Mus musculus: one gene and its partners. The protein of the gene in region 3 binds, or shares a complex with, the protein of the main gene of each other region. Links are inferred from orthologs where the notes say so. Each region holds a gene or a part of one and is shown on either strand. Other genes may lie near its edges.

Region 1 (4,998 bases), on a different chromosome or scaffold from region 3:
TGTAGCCAAAATCATAACCACTAAAGGAGGAATAAAGCAGATGTCTGAAAGCAGCCTCAGTCCAGCCTTAAACCACCACCTCAGGCTGGGGGCTGGGCCTCTCAAAGAGCACTGATGATCTCAGCTTTACATTCAGTGAGGAAATTTACATAAGGAAAGCTACGATGAGAAACACACAAGAACCTGAGAGTTTGTGTGAATTTGATTAATCAAAACTCAAAAGTAAAGCCGTAAGAGCCCAGGAGAAGGGTCACCTAAAGAGAAATTTTGAATCAGAGTTCCAATCCCAGCACCCAGGTCAGACAGCTCACAAATGCCTGTAAGTCTACCTGCAATGGCCCAGCATCCTCTTTTGGCTCCCTAGGTACTCACACACATACCTATACATACCACACACACACATACCCTTTAAAAATAAACACCTTCCAAAAAGTATTTAAAGAATATCTGTATTTGAGGACATTTCAAAGGACAAGCCACACCAGGCTGAAAATAACCGAGCCCACAGCAGCCTCCATCCACCTGGAAGACAGCACTGCACAGCCACTACAGCACTGCAGGTCAAGTGATGCAAAGCCCATGTGCGTGTTCACGTGCTCCCAAACACTACACAGGAACACCAACACCACCTCACTGCTGCTTCCAAAAAGCCAGGAGGACTCAAATCAACAAGAATTTAGTTCCTCCCCAGTGCAGCCTACAGTCAGAAGGGCGAAGCTATGCTGAAGAGACAGGCCACAGTTCCCGTGGACTGACCTGTGAAATGAAAGCCACTTGACGTTGTCACAGAGAACCACTCCCGATGTCATAAGCAGCTCTGCAAAGTGCAGTGTATCGATCCCTTCCTCCTCGTGTTTCTGGAACTGCAGCCCTGAGTTTGCAAGCAGATCTATGGAATCCTGGGAGTACATATCCTCTCTGAAAAACAAGGTGTCACTATGAGCTGGCGGCAGTGAGACCAAAGCAGGAGAGATGTTATGGTTAGCTTATGATTCGGAAACACAGAACTCCTGAAACACTCCAAAAACCAGCAGATTTGTATTTCCTAATTACAGAAAACCTATATTCTCTTGCTTAAAATTGTGTTTTATGTAAATGAATGAGTTAAACAATTGTGAGCCCAGCTCTGGGAATTGAGCTCAGATCTTTTGGAGGGGCAGCCGGTGTCCTAACCATTGAGCCACACATTTTTTTTATGCTGTTTTTCATCTTTTTTAAATATTTATTTATTTATGTATATGGATGTTTGTCTGTATATTTGCACACCAGAAGAGGGCATTCAGGCCCATCACAGACAGAGAGTGCCCACGTGGCTGCTGGGAACTGAACTCAGGAGCTCTGGAAGAACAACCTGGGCTTTTAACCACTGAACTATCATCTATGCGGCCTTTGGTTTTTTTAATTTTTAATCATATTTACACTTCTTTATATTATTTACAGTAGAATTTAACAAAACAAACTTGAGACAGAACTAACCCTGAAGTTTACTTATTACGGATGGTTGCGAGCCACCATGTGGTTGCTGGGATTTGAACTCAGGACCTTTGGAAGAGCAGTCGGCGCTCTTAACCACTGAGCCATCTCTCCAGCCCCTGAAGTTTATTTATAAAACAAACAAAAGGCAGGGCTGGAGATGAGGCTCAGCACTACGAGTTCTTGCTGCCGTGACAGAAGACCCAGGCTTAGCTCCCAACCATCCGTACTACCAGTCCCAGGGATCTGCTAACTGCTGTGGACACCAGGCACATACATGATGGACAGATATACATGCAGGCAAAACATTAATACACAAAATAACAGTTAAGGTCAGGCGTGGTGGCGCATGCCTTTAATCCCAGCACTCAGGAGACAGAGGCAGGAGGATTTCTGAATTCAAGGCCAGCCTGGTCTACAAAGTGAGTTCCAGGACAGCCAGGGCTACACAGAAAAATCCTGTCTCAAAAACAAAAAAACAAAACAAAACAAAAAAAAACAGTTAAAAATCTTGGGCTGGGGGCTGGAGAGCTGGCTCAGCGGTTAAAAGCACCGACTGCTTCCAGAGGTCCTGAGTTCAACTCCCAGCAACCACACGGTGGCTCAAAACCATCTGTACAGGGATTTGATGCCCTCTTCTGGTGTGTCTTAAGACAGCTACAGTGTACTCACATACATACATAAAAGATAAATAAATCTTTTAAAAAAAAGAAAAAAGAGCTGGGCGTGGTCGCACACGCCTTTAATCCCAGCACTTGGGAGGCAGAGGCAGGCAGATTTCTGAGACCGCCTGGTCTCTGGCCAGCCTGGTCTCCAGAGTGAGTTCCAGGACAGCCAGGACTACACCCTGTCTTGAAAAACCAAAAAAAAAAAAAAAAAAAAAAAAGATAGCAAGTTTCAGGACACTCAGAGCAACATAATAGAGAGAAACCATGTCTCCTCCCACCTCAATCCCAAAAACCACATGATTAGTAAAGCTTACAGCAACCAGCCCACTCAAACTCAGCTGTCTAGTAACACTGAGGGTCTCCCAAGACACTCACGTCAGGTTGAACTTGAAGTTGAACTGCCATGTGTTGATTCCAGACGGGTACTCCCCCTTCTCATTGGTGAACGTAAGGCCCAGCTGGATGATTTTAAGAAGATCAACATTGCACCGCAGAAGCTGATACTGGTAATCTATGGAGCTTCGAAATTCACCGATCGGCCGTACAACAACACCTGGGAACTCTGTGTCCTAGGAACAAAAGCCTCTTACCATTAAGCCTCAGCAAACAGTGGTGCTCAGCAACCCATGAGCAAAATTGCTCTTCAGTTTACAGAAGCCCAAGATAAGCTCCCAAGGTCTAGAACACAACAGAACCCAGACAGGTGAATGGGTGACTAGAGGGAGCTGCGCTCAGGTAGGAACGTCTTTTTTCACTTATTCATTTACTTCAAGTGCACTGGTGGCATGTGTGTCTGTAGGAGAGGGTCAAATCCCCTGGAAGTGGAGTTACAGACAGTTGTGAGCTATCATATGGGTGCTGTGAATTGAACCATGGTCCTCAGGAAGAACAAGTGCCCTCGACTGCTGAGCCATCTCTCTAGCCTTCAGATAGGACCTTCCAATATGAGTTAAATACAAATACAGCCAAGTAGATGGGGTGGCTCACAGGGGCTTCGCTCCATCCCATCAGCTTCTTGGTGTGACGTATACTTGAAAGAGAAGCCCGGCTCATGGCCTGCTGTTCAGAGCTCCCACCTTGGTCTAATGTTTTTATAAAGGACAAATGCAGCCTTCCTCTTTCCTGAGTGACTATTTCACTGCCGTGTGTACATAAAACCCTTTTATACCCTTGTAAAGCTCAGACTGGCCTATACTCATTGATCTTGAACTCCTGACCCCACACCCTCACCCCCAGTGTTTGGGATGACAGGATCTTAACCTGCTGGGAGAGCTTGTAAGGCTAGTGCCTCTTATGGACAGAGGAGTGAAAGCAGGGTTTGAATACAGACAGTGGCAAGCTCCAAGCCTGGAGTAAAACAGAGCACCTGCGTGCTCAGGGGCTGGCCTAAGAAGAGTGCCACCTAACCCGCCATTGGGCAGGAAAATAAGCCACACAGTACCAGTCCTTCCCACTTTACCCAGAGACACCAGATCTGCAATGTGACATCTCCTGCCTTTTTTGTGCTAGCAATAAAATGTTTGAATATTTTGAAAACATAGGCTGGGCATGTTGGTACATGCCTATCTTCCTAGCACTTGGGAGATAGAGGCAGGAGGATCAGAAAGTCAAGTCGTCCTCTTGAAATATGCCTGTTACATGAAACCCTGTCTCCAAATTTTAAAAAATTAATAAGTACCACATGCTCAAATTCCCATGTGTGAGGAGATATACCCAAAGGGGCTGAGGTAGGTCAGACACTAGAGCACTTCCCAGCACCACACATACTGGGCACAATGGGGCAACCATAGCTCAGCACCAAGAAGGCAGAAGCAGGAGGATAAGCACAAGGCCTGCCTGGACTACCCAGCAAGTGCTGGGCTAGCCAGGGCTTACATATCCAGATCCTATCTAAATAAACAAAAATAAAAATATAAAAGACTTTCCATCAGAGGAACACATTACAAAAACTTGTGTCAGAAGCTATGCCCTCCTCAGAGACACTAGCTGCCTTGATTCACAAAAGCAATTAGGTTTCCATCAGTCTAACCTTCCCTGGCTTTGGTGGGGAGGGCCTACTCACCATAGCGATATAGCTGTAGCTGAGGACAATCTCACGGATCTTCCGCATCTCTTCCTCAAGATTGCTGGCCCACACCTCACAGATGACCTGACTGTTTTCTACAAGTGCCGCAGGCATCCTGAAGGCACCTGAGGAGCCACCGTGAGCCAACTATGTAAAAAAACAAACAAGCCTCCTTCTGTTTGATTTAATTGTCCACACTGGATCCAATCTAGATATAAAGACAGTTTGAAATCACATTAAGTTTACATGGTGGTATAAGATATCTACAAATCAAACACATTAAAATTGTATTTTAGTCAGATACGTGACCCAGACACATGATCCTAACACTCAGGAGGCCAAGGTAGAAGGAGGGAGACCAGCGTGGACTGCATACTGAGTCCATTTAAGGTCAACCAGGGCTACCTAGCAAGACCCTATCTGAAAACACACACAAACCAGAGTTTTACCATAACTTCATTAACAGTCAGTGCACTCAGCATCCACTACCTATGGAGTGCTTACACTTGCCTTTGTCAAGTTTGTTCTCTCTTGATACAAACAAAACCCTACCTGTTGACCCGAATCCTTAACATGACATTAAAAATGGCAAGTTACTGGGCTAGAGAGATGGCTCAGTGGTTAAGAGCACCACTGCTCTTCCAGAGGTCCTGAGTTCAATTCCCAGCAACCACATGGTGGCTCACAAACATCTGTAATGGGATCTGATGCCCTCTTCTGATGTGTCTGAAGACAGCAACAGCGTACTCATATACATCAAATAAATAAATAAATCTTTTAAAAAAAAAAAGG
Region 2 (4,998 bases), on a different chromosome or scaffold from region 3:
CTCAGCTTTTACTTGGGTATTGGGGGTCAAAAATACTCATGTTTGAACATCATCTCTCCAGCTTACATATCAGAAAAATGTTATTTTAGTGACTGTAGAGTTAAATTTATACTATCATGTGTTCAAGATGCTGAGTGATCAGTTTCTGCACTGTAGTTATGGACGTGTTTCTTTTCATTGTTCCTGTGTGTACGTTATTGTTAATCCTTTTGCCTATAGTATGACTTGTTTAACTTTCTATCTGAAAAACTAATTTCTTTCATTGTATGGTATTAATGTATTTTTTTCTGAATTATTTTAATCTTTTTATTAGTGGTTATGACTTTGGCTATTTAATCAAAATTCTGACCAACTCTAACTTGCCTGAGGAAGAACTTGATTTCTTTGAGATCCTTCGGTTATTTTTTCCTGTCATTTATGATGTGAAGTACCTCATGAAGAGCTGCAAAAATCTCAAAGTAAGGCTTCAGATGACTTTATCCGGAACTAGCACATTAGTTAGCCCAATGAGTCTCAACCTGGAAGTTGAACAACCCTTTCACAGGGATCAATTATGACCATTGGAAAACACAAATATTTATATTATGATTCATAACAGAAAAATCATAGTTAAGAAGCGATAAAAATAGTTTTATGGTTGGGGTTCACCACAACAAAGCTGTATTAAAGGATGCAGCATTAGGAAGGTTGAGAAGCACAATTTAGACCAAGTAATTTCTATAATATCTTAGGCCTGAATGTTTTAAACCATGTTTTAGAAGTTATGTTAAGCCGGGCAGTGGTGGTGCATGCCTTTAATCCCAGCACTTAGGAGGCAGAGGCAGTCAGATTTCTGAGTTCAAGGCTGGCCCGGTCTACAGAATAAGTTCCAGGACAGCCAGGGCTACACAGAAAAACCCTGTCTCCAAAAAAAAGAAAAAAGTTAGTTAAATTATCTGATCCTATTCTTAATAAACAATCTCTCTTCAAAGCTGCGGTATTTATCTTAACAGGATAAGGTTTGTTTTGGTTTTGTGTTTTCCTTGGTTGGATTTTTGTCTTGTTGTAGATACTTTAAATTGTATTTTATGTATGTGGGTATTTTACTTGCATGTGTATATGCACTAAATGTGTGCCTGCTGTCTGAGGAGGTTAGAAGAGGGCATCCCATCTCCTAGATTATAGTTATGGATGGTTGTGAACCACCATGCTGTGTTGGGGCTGAGCCTGTGTCCTCTGCAAAAACAGCAAGTGCTCTTACCTGCTGAGCTATCTTTCCAACCAAGTTATCTTACCTGCTGAGCCATTTTTCCAGCCCAGAATAATGTTGATATATTAATTGCATTAAATATATTTAAGAGGGCTGGTGAGATGGCTCAGTGGGTAAGAGCACCCGACTGCTCTTCCGAAGGTCCAGAGTTCAAATCCCAGCAACCACATGGTGGCTCACAACCATCCGTAATAAGATCTGACTCCCTCTTCTGGTGTGTCTGAAGACAGCTACAGTGTACTTACATATAATAATAAAATAAATCTTTTAAAAATATATATATATTTAAGATACACACACTCTCACTCACTTCTGTGGAAGTTTACAGCAAGAGGTAGCAGAGGCTAAAAGAGAGAGTGTCAGACCCTCTGGAACTGGAGTTATGGGTACTTGTGAGCCACCTAGTGGGTGCTAGAAACTGAAATTTGGTCCTCCACAACAGCTGTGCTCTTAGCTGCTGAGCCAACTCTTTAGTCCCCAGAATAAATTTTTAACAAAAGCCAAGCTAAGGGCCATGTTTTTGTTATTGATGCCAGATTGAGGGTCATCAACTGAAATGAAAGTGTGAGGTGTACACTGACAGAGCCCTGTATTACAGAGGTTCTCATACTCCCAGCACACAGAACTATCACAAGCATACAGATTGGGGTTGGCCAGCAGGGGGCAGAGACACTCAGTAGTGTTCTAAGGTGGTTTTCCTTCAGATTATCCTGACTAGAGACTCTCCTTTATTCTTTCTTGTTAAAGTATGATGTTGTTATTTTCGTAGCTAAAACTGGTTAGGCATAAATACTATATAGTAAATGTGTAGGTTCTATATAGACAGTAGCTTATTCTGATAATACTGAACATATGTAGCCATGTATTTTTAACCTTTGGACATTAATTTTATCAAAACAAACATTTCCTGATTAAAGAAAAGTACTACTTTGGCTCAAGAGCAAATTCCCCTGAGTTGGCACAGATCCCTGGCAATACACTGAGTGGGTTTTTAGTTGCTGGATTTTGGTGTGATATGTTAAGTTATAACTAAGGAAACAAGTGTATGTGTAGCCAATATTGTCCCTGTCTTCAGTAAAACCAAGGTTGGCCAAGTTTTCCCTATCTAGGTTTTAGAAAAATACAGACAGAGCTTTGCTTTAGGAAACAGTAAGGAATTTAATAGTTTTTCTTAAGCAAGAATAGAGGAATTATAATGTGGAAGCTTTAGTTTCAACAATTTACTGAGAATTGTAGGACAGAAGTAATTTGTCACTGTTGTAGGTGTGGTGCCAAATAACTAGGAGAACTTCTTGAAAGATTATCTCATGACTGTCAGTTGAAAGTCACAGAATCCTGTGTCATTTGAGGTTTCCTCATAAGTGAACTCCAGCAGAGTATTCTGACTACTTACACTGATGAGTGGCATGCTGAGAATCTAAGGCTCCCACCTGGCTGGCTCTGGAAGTTTTTGGTTTTGTTTTGTTTTGTTTTGTTTTGGTTATTTATTTATTTATTTTTGGTTTTTCAAGACAGGGTTTCTTTTATTTATTTATTTATTTTTGGTTTTTCAAGACAGGGTTTCTCTGTATAGCCCTGGCTGTCCTGGAACTTACTTTGTAGACCAGGCTGGCCTCGAACTCAGAAATCCGCCTGCCTCTGCCTCCTGAGTGCTGGGATTAAAGGCGTGCGCCACCATGCCCGGCTGTATTTTGTTTTTTTAATTGACAGCTTGGTATAATGATAGTTTTCAGAAACAGAGTCCTAATTTTTTATTCTTCTATATATTCAGAAATATCTAAAAATATCAAATATTTTATTGAGTGCTATGTGAGCTGCTCACATTAAAAGTGTATGTTAGCAATAAGGTGCTACCAGTCATTCATATCTAGTCTGCTGCTGTGTTCTAAGCAGCTGCCAAGGATGCATGGTGCACACAATGTTAGAAACCGTTGCTGGCAGGAGTCCTGTCAGGCTAGGATGTGACTACAGGATAGTAAAGGCTTTGTATTTTAAGGAGGAAGTTGATTGGTAGTCTGTTCTGTGTCTGTCTATTTCTTCTCTTTTCCTTTGACACTCGTTATTTTTCTCAGTCATAGCTATAGTAATATAAGCAGATCAGAGCAACCATTCTAAAAGAGTTGTATATTTGTAAAATTCTCTTTTTAGTTGAGAAAATGGAAATTATGTGGTAGATTGACAATGACAGTGGTCTGAACACTCATGTTGTCTTTGTTTTACTAAGTTTTAAATACTTTAGGGGATGCAGATATTTTTAATGACACTGAGTATGGTTTATTACTGTTACCCTGAATATGATCTACTTCCTTCATATCTCTGGAAAGTTGTTAAGGCATGCTTAACTTGCCTTAAGATGTATAATTAAAATAAAATTTTCCTATTAGAATTTCATATTCTGGTAAAAAAAGGCTTTTATAGTCCACAGATAAATTACAGATTCATATTTTATCAATCCCCTTGCCATCTTTACAAGGTTCATCTTTACATATTAAAAATGTATTCATATTTTTGTCAGTGTCTAAATCTGTAATTGTGAATTCCAGTCCCAAAGTCCTCTCTATTTGACAAGCAACTTTTCTTCCTTCTAGGGTGGATTACAGGAAGTTGCTGAGCAGTTAGAGCTGGAGCGCATAGGCCCTCAGCACCAGGCAGGATCTGACTCACTGCTTACAGGAATGGCCTTTTTCAAAATGAGAGAAGTATGAAGACATCAGTGCCTTTTTCTTGGTTGTTAGGTAGAGAACATTAAAGGTCTGATGACAAAAGTTTTGGGCATTAAGAACCTACTAAGTGAAGATATAAATAGAGGTACTATATAAGTTACATCCACCACATTTGAATGAAAATGTTAAATAAGTCCTCCTGAAATGTAACGCAAAAGGAAATAGAATAAACTCTTTATAGAATAAAAAAACATTATTTATTCTACTGAAATATGTTGTTTATAGAATAAAAAATTAGGTGATTGTAGAGATCATGTACATATGAACATGCTGTTTTTTAAGCTAAAAAGGTAATAGTGAGGGAACTCAACTTTCTTAGACCCCATACGAGCCAGGGAGTCGTACCTTCTTTTTCTAGAAACTGGTGGCGAAAATAGATTTGCTCATGTCATTCTTCATTGCTTTAAAGGTTTTATAAAGTAGAACTTAACAGTTTTTACTAAGTCTTAAAGGCTTTTTGAATATATAGGTATTAATTAAATCTGAAGTCTGACATATAGTTGAGTCAAAACTATCAGGAATTCAAGTATAAAATTGTTAGGAGTAGAAGGATGATATGTAGTGGAACTGAGTGTTTTTAGGATAGATAACTAGGTGATAGATGTCGTGGTTACTTCATTGCTGATAATAATAAACAAATTTTAATTGTATACCCACACACACACACACACACACACACATATATACACACACACACACACACACATGTATTCTATTTTTGGTACACTGTGTGTGTGTGTCCTATTTTAGTTTGGTATAAATGGTACAAATATATATATAAAATGTGCCTACAGAAACACATTTTTATGAAATAGTTGCTGTGGAATTATTTTGAGTATATTCTCTTGGTAAAAACATGCTATTGACAGAACGCATTTGACTTGTTTTGCCAGGTAGTATTGATTCAGAAGTTATTTGAATTGTCCACTCACGTAACTAACTTAGTTTCAGTATAGGACCACCTTTTGGATTTTTTTTTTTTTTTTAGTTTTTTTGAGACAGGGTTTCTCTGTTTAGTCTTGGCTG
Region 3 (6,979 bases):
GAGCACAGCCTTCTGTAGCAGGAGGCCACAGAGAAACTTAGAGGAGACATGACTGAATGAAGAGAAGAAATAAGGAAAGGATGTGACTGCTCCTCAGTATGGAGGGGGAGAAAGTAGATAAAAGGGAGAGTGTTAGCATTTTGTCTAAGCTCTGCCCCATAGTTACCTGGCAACAGCCAGGTGTGCCTGACTCACTATAAAAGGGGCTGCTTGCCCCTCCTCTCTCTCTCTTGCCCTCTTGCTCTTGCTTTCCTGCTTTTCATTCCTGCTCTCTCCCCATTTCCTTTCCCCCTCTTTCTCCATGTGCTCATGGCTTGCCTCTCCTCCTCCTCCTCCTCCTCCTCTTCCTTTCCTCTCCTCTCCTCTCCTCTCCCCTCCTCTCCCCTCCTCTCCCCTCCTCTCCCCTCCTCTCCCCTCCTCTCCCCTTCCCTCCCCTCTCCTCTCCTCTCCGCTCCTCTTTTCTCCCCTCCTCTCCGCTCCTCTTTTCTCCGCTCATCTCCTCTCTCCTCTCCCCCTTTCTCTGCCTCTGCTACCCTCTTGACCCCTCTCCCCATGCCCTGAATAAACTCTATTCTATACTATCCCGTGTGTGGCTGGTCCCATAGAACATATTTCCCCTGTCTTTGTCTTTTTATAAATACATCAGAGAGTGTGGGTAAAGGCAGGACCATCCAGAGTGGACATGACTAGACCAAGCTGGACCATGTGGGGAGAAGGGGGGGACCATGTACAGCTGTCAGGAGTCCAAAGGTACAAAAGGAACTGGGACTCTGGGTTTAGGGCTGGAGAGATGTCTCAGTGGTTAAGAGCACTGACTGCTCTTCCAGAGGTCCCGAGTTCAATTCCCAGTGACCACATGGTGGCTCACAACCATTTGTAATGAGATCTGATGCCCTCTTCTAGTGTGTCTGAAGACAGCGACAGTGTACTCATATACATAAAAATAAATAAATCCTTTTAAAAGAAAAAGTCTGGGTTCTATAGGGAAGATCCTGTAGTGGAAGGGTAGCCCACCCTCTAGGCTGCAGAGTTCAGGGTAGAGAGAGGGGTGTGCCAGCCATAGCCTGTCAGGTAGGAACTGGGGGTGGCTGGGAAAAAAACAGGCTGCCGGGTTAGCTTTGATATGTTAATATGCATCTCAGCAGGGAGTCCCAGTTCGAAACTTAATAACAATTAAGGAAAGGTGCAGCTATAAGCCAAGGGATACCAGGGTCTTTGGATATCACTGGAAGCTAGAACAAGACTTGGAAGAATTCTCCCCTTGATGCTTCAAAGGTGAATGGCAGAATTGATATAACCCATTCCAGACGTTCAGCCTCAGGAAGGGAGAGGAAGTGGGTTCTACAGTGAAAATGAACTCAGTTTGTGGTAATGGCAGAGAAACCCTAGAAACAAGCCCAGTGGAAACAGGGAAGACGCTCTTGGTATTAATCTTAGTGGAAATCAGCTCTATTGGCGGGTAACGTGCTGTGCTCAAATACCTTAAAACATCTCGAAACACCCATACTGTACTAACATTTAAGTTATCAACTAACAATAAGTTATGACAATAACTAGCATGAGTGGGTTTTAGTATGATTAGTTGTCATAGAGCATCCAATGTAAAAAGGCTCAAAGAGAACATAGTTGACTAATTAGTAGTAGTAGTAGTAGTAGTAGTAGTAGTAGTAGTAGTAGTAGTAGAAGAGGTAATTTGAATCATTTGCCCCGTTTGGCAAGCTATATTTTCTGCTGATTGCAATGTTCATTGGCAGAACCCCTCCACAGGTTTAACAGTAAACTAAAGAGGCCTTTAAAATATGCGCCATACCCATCACCTGTTCCTGAAGATTTCCTTGAGAACTTCAGCGGTAAATAGAAAACTTTCAGCTGCCGAAGAGTTTTAGCACAGGGTAGCTAGCAGGTGACGCTGATGACAGTCGCTCGGTTTCTGTAACTCTAGAGTGGATACTAGTCACCACCGGAGCATAGGGGTGGGGAGCGGGCAGCGGTGCCTTTGAAACAGATCACAGGGGACCAGGTCCAGGAGGCTGGTATGTAAAGAAATTTCCAGGGTTTTCCAGTGTTCAGCCAAGGCGTCCAGAAAAAGTGCCCTAGGGCAGGCTAAGGAAAAAGAAGCACTGCAAACGATTTTGTAAACGAATATTTCTCGAGACAGTTTTCTCAGATTTTTTTTTTTCTTTCTTTTTAGACCAGGCTGGCCTCGAACTCACAGGGGTTCGTCTGCCTCTGCCTCCCTGGTGCCGGCCTCGCCTAGATTTTTGTTCACATAACCAAACGTTTATGTGCGGTACGACCCCATCTCTGAGAATACGAGCAAGGCTCGAAATTTAAACTGTTTCTGAGAATCCTGTTTTCATTGGTATTTACAAGAAATGAGCCGTCAAGGATGCTCTATCAGACCAGTTAGCATCTAAGACCTAGTTTCCAAATTATAACTTAGGCAATATTGACTGGGCAGGTTTGGCGCCACCCTGTCACCCAAGGATCGCTTCTGAGGGCTTTAAGGGCAATTAACGGCGGTCTCTACATCACTCAGGCAGGGAAGGACCACTCGGACAGCTCAGAGACCACGCGGCCCCGCCCTCCACGGCGCCCCGCCCCCTTCCGGACACGGCGCCCCGCCCACTCGCGTCTCCGGAACCTCCGCTCGGCCAGCGTCGTCGGTCTGTCGGCCCTGTGTCTCCGTTCCGCTCGTCTGACTTAGGCACTGTTTTTGTTTGCGACGCTGTCGCGGAAGGGTGCGCTTTACGGCCGCGGGAGGACGCAGCGAGTCGGCGCCTTGGGCCTCTCGGCCGGGAAGCGGGGTAGGCGGGCGAGGTTGATGCCCGGCGGCGGGGCGAGCACGGCGTCTGGCCGGCTTCTCTCCTCAGCGGATCCCAGAGGGGCGCGGGAGGCAGCGGCGTTCCGGAGCGGCCCGGCGGGCTCGAGCGGAGGCCGAGGCGGAGCAGGCGGCCCTGGGCCAGGGATTGGAGGCCCCGCGGGCAGGATGAGCCTGACCCCGAAGGAGCTCTCGAGCCTGCTGAGCATCATCTCGGAGGAGGCGGGCGGCGGCAGCACCTTCGAGGGCCTGTCCACCGCCTTCCACCACTACTTCAGCAAGGCCGACCACTTCCGCCTGGGCTCGGTGCTGGTGATGCTGCTGCAGCAGCCGGACCTGCTGCCTAGCGCGGCGCAGCGCCTCACGGCGCTCTACCTGCTCTGGGAGATGTACCGCACCGAGCCGCTCGCCGCCAACCCGTTCGCGGCCAGCTTCGCGCACCTGCTCAACCCGGCGCCGCCCGCCCGCGGCGGCCAGGAGCCCGACCGGCCCCCGCTCTCAGGTACGTCCCGCAGCCAGCCGTGCGGGCGCAGCCAGCTGTTCTGGGGTGGGGGTGGGAGGGGGGTCGTCAGCTAGGGACATTCAGCCTCCTTGGAGGGGATCGACCCTCCCTCCTTTTCCATACTTTCTTTCCCTAAAATAGGGGAGAGATAGAAGTTGCAAGTTTTGTTTTTTTGGTTTTTTTTTTTTTTCAAATTCACTACACTCCAGATGATCCCTCCCAATCGAAAAAGCCAACACATCGTACAAGCCCACAAACGGGCTGGACATATTTTAGTATGCCAGATACGGTTCATTCTTGATTGTAAGGTCCTGAGGTATGCGAAGTTACAGCCAATGGCACTGAGTTTACCCCCTTTTTAAGCCTCCGAGTAAAGAAGTCGGTATTAAGAACCTGAGGTTGAAGTCCACATCACCACAATATCTAAAGTCTTTGCAGCCAACTCCTTGGTTAGCTGTAATGTCGCGTGAGGAGAGGATGAAGTCGTTTCTAATTAACCATTCAAAGATGCATGTGTCCTGGGCAGTATTGTGGAATGTTTGCTTTTGCAGCATTGCTAAGATCAGGCATAGATTACACCTGAGGATGCGCCCCTAAATTTGGTGCTGTGGATGGAACCCAGGGTCACTTCCTCTATACCATGAGCCTCGTCCAGGACTCTGGGACAGCTGTACCACTCACAGGCTGACATACATGTACATATGTACATATATATAGATATAGAGATAGAGATAGAGATATAGATATACACACACATATACATATATATATAATTTTTAAAGTATGTTTAAATTTGTAGGAATCTAAGTATTTGATAACAAAAAGTTCTCAACAGCTATTAAAACCTTACGTTTCATTGACATTTCCATAGATCACAGAATCTCAAGCGATATATTTGTTTATGGATTACTATGTGTACTAAGTGTGAATATTCAATCAGCTGGAACTCAGTTACATTTAGATCATAAGAATAGCTCCACGTGGCAAGTAGCAAAGTTTCCAGTTAACTTTTAAAGTTAAATTTTAAAACTTTACCAGTACCCATTGGCGAGAAACCGGCATGCATTCTTATTTGCAGGGTTCCTGCCTCCTATAACTCCACCAGAAAAGTTTTTCCTCTCCCAGCTCATGCTGGCACCCCCAAGGGAACTGTTCAAAAAGACACCTCGCCAGATTGCCTTGATGGACGTTGGAAACATGGGACAGTCTGTGGACATTAGCGGCCTTCAGTTAGCCCTGGCAGGTGAGGGAGGGCCAGTGATTGGGACATTCTTGTCGGTTCTTGAGATCCCCTGCTTAAAATCAACAAGTTTTTTCTTTTAAATTTACATTTCTGCTGTTTTTGTTTGATCCTCTCCCATCCTGCCCTGCCCTGTCCTTTCCCTGTCTCCCTGTCTGCCACCCCCTCTTTTGTTTGTTTGTTTTGAGACCAGGTTTCTTTGTGTAGCCTTGGCTGTCCTGGAAGAGCTGGGTAGAGCATGCTGGCCTCTAACTGAGCTCTTACTGGCTGACTCTGAGTACTCAGGCACGCAGCCCCAGGCCAGGCCCGCTCCAGTCCCCATCCCAGATCACACCCTTGTACCCCAGCACCTCCTCCACTCTCTTTTCTGTTTCCTTATTCTGTGCTTCTGATTGACACCCAGCCTGGTCTCTGCCCCGCACCTCCCTCCCTGCCATCCACCTCACTCCATGTTCTCTTTTGGAGTTATTTTAATATTATTATTGTTTGGTTTATAGGGATTAAAGATATTTACTTTGAACTCCTGATCTGTTCACGATGTTCTCAATTTTAAAATGTTCTGTGCCACCCTGCCCCTCCCCCTGCCCCCCAGGCTGGCCTTGGGTTCTTGACTCTCGTCTCCGCCTTCCAGGTGCTGGCATTACAAGGTCTAGCTTAAATGCTTTGAATGCTTCTTGTCTGAATCTGTTCCAGAGCGTCAGTCTGAGCTGCCAACCCAGAGCAAAGCCAGCTTCCCAAGCATCCTCAGTGACCCAGACCCGGACTCGTCCAACTCTGGATTTGACAGCTCAGTTGCCTCTCGGATCACAGAGTCTTTAGTCAGTGGCCCAAAGCCACCTATTGAAAGTAGGTATATGGGGCTTAGTTCATGTTCTCAGGGTTGTACTCTAGCAGCACTCGGGAATTCTACGTTTCTTACAGTACCTGATGACAGACTAACTGCCTTGCTGTCTAGAATATAGCAGACACAGACACCAGCTAGTTATACACTAGGATGTTTATTGCTTATTTGATGTACACCCCCCCACACACACACACACACATGCCTGCAGATAAAAATTCAGGTTTTACCAAAATGACTGTGTTTGTTTTAATGAGATAGTCTCATGTAGCGCAGAGTAGTCTAGAAATTTCCTGTGTAGCTGAGGATGACCTTAGAGTCCTGGTCATCCTCGGCTGAGAGTAGGATCCATAATCCAGCCACCCACCTCTGTCCTCTGTGGGAAGTGCTCTCTGGAAGGCTAGTGATGGACTGGGTAAGATCTGCTCTCAGGACAGAGAGAACTTCCTGCTGTACACCAGAGGCAGCGGAGAGGAGTGGGAGCTCGTGTGTCCCAGTTTAGTGGAAATTACTAAGTTTTCATCTCCTGGGCTTTTGTGGGGCTTAGCAGGCAGGTGGAGCCCACAGCTGGATAGACAGCTGGGTGTCTGTCTTGTTAAGTACTGAGATATAAAGTATACGTTGTCTTTCTTGAGAGTGGTCATTTGGGCATAGCACTGTGGGTCACTGGAGTTAGGGTGCAAGTGTTTATACAAGAACATAATAAGCCACTGGGGGCAAGCTGTGTGGTTGTGATTGTTGAGGCTTTAGCCTTTCTTTCTGGGCTTTTCAGCTGTGGAGCAACCAAATGAAGTATGATGTTAGTTCAGAAGTACTAACTAGTTTACTTTAGTGTGTCAATAATTGATAACTTACACATCAACCTTGAATTGTGGGGATAGCCCCAAGAACTCTGTTTAGTATTCTGAGGTGTCCTAGGGTCCACAAAAAGAAAGTTAAGGGGGAAAAACTCATAAAATTTTAGTTATATGTTAACTGCGATGAGAAATACCTTTAATCCCAACTCTCGGGAAGTAGAGGCAAGCAGATCTCTGTGAGTTTGAGGGTAGCCTGGTCTACAGAGTGAATTCCAGGACACCTGAGGACATAAAGGAGATTTTAAGAAAACAACCATCATCATTATCTTGTCGTCATCATCATCTGCATCTGCATATTTGACACCTGCATCCTCAGCCTAAGTGGCTATGCTTGCATTAAAACTCAGTTCATGTTCATGTTTTCCTCTTTCTGAAAAACAGACTTGTATTGGCATCATGCTGATGGTGTGTGTGTTGGGGGGGGGTCACGTGTTCTCGGTTGTCATTTGAGCGTGGAACTCTGATTTTTATAGCATTACTGTTTGAAGTATGTCTTATCACATGTCCTTGTTAAAGGTACCCTTGTACTTCATTAAATGCATATAGGGTGTGTGCAAATGTTAGCTCACCGACAGTCATGTGTTACTCTCATTATAGGCCACTTTCGACCAGAGTTTATCCGCCCACCACCCCCTCTCCACATCTGTGAGGATGAACTGGCCTGGCTAAATCCCACAGAACCCGAGCATGCCATCCAGTGGGACAGATCGATGTGTGT

Evidence for each region. The genes of interacting proteins can lie anywhere in the genome.
Region 1: Cnot11 (region 3) and Cnot8 share a complex: the UniProt entries of both Homo sapiens proteins name them as parts of the CCR4-NOT complex. The link is inferred for Mus musculus from reciprocal best matches to the Homo sapiens genes CNOT11 and CNOT8.
Region 2: Cnot11 (region 3) and Cnot7 share a complex: the UniProt entries of both Homo sapiens proteins name them as parts of the CCR4-NOT complex. The link is inferred for Mus musculus from reciprocal best matches to the Homo sapiens genes CNOT11 and CNOT7.

The regions. Positions count from the first base shown.
Region 1 is NC_000077.6:58,108,972-58,113,969, reverse strand, and holds part of Cnot8 (CCR4-NOT transcription complex subunit 8), read right to left. Parts: intron 4,415-4,998; 5' UTR 4,321-4,414; coding exon 4,204-4,320; intron 2,711-4,203; coding exon 2,517-2,710; intron 919-2,516; coding exon 757-918; intron 21-756; coding exon 1-20. UniProt on the Homo sapiens protein: Has 3'-5' poly(A) exoribonuclease activity for synthetic poly(A) RNA substrate. Its function seems to be partially redundant with that of CNOT7.
Region 2 is NC_000074.6:40,494,755-40,499,752, reverse strand, and holds part of Cnot7 (CCR4-NOT transcription complex subunit 7), read left to right. Parts: intron 1-313; coding exon 314-458; intron 459-3,837; coding exon 3,838-3,948; exon of another isoform or gene 3,949-4,057; intron 4,058-4,998. UniProt on the Homo sapiens protein: Has 3'-5' poly(A) exoribonuclease activity for synthetic poly(A) RNA substrate. Its function seems to be partially redundant with that of CNOT8.
Region 3 is NC_000067.6:39,533,015-39,539,993, forward strand, and holds the start of Cnot11 (CCR4-NOT transcription complex subunit 11), read left to right. Parts: upstream 1-2,686; 5' UTR 2,687-2,824; coding exon 2,825-3,323; intron 3,324-4,401; coding exon 4,402-4,566; intron 4,567-5,256; coding exon 5,257-5,409; intron 5,410-6,858; coding exon 6,859-6,979. UniProt on the Homo sapiens protein: Component of the CCR4-NOT complex which is one of the major cellular mRNA deadenylases and is linked to various cellular processes including bulk mRNA degradation, miRNA-mediated repression, translational repression during translational initiation and general transcription regulation.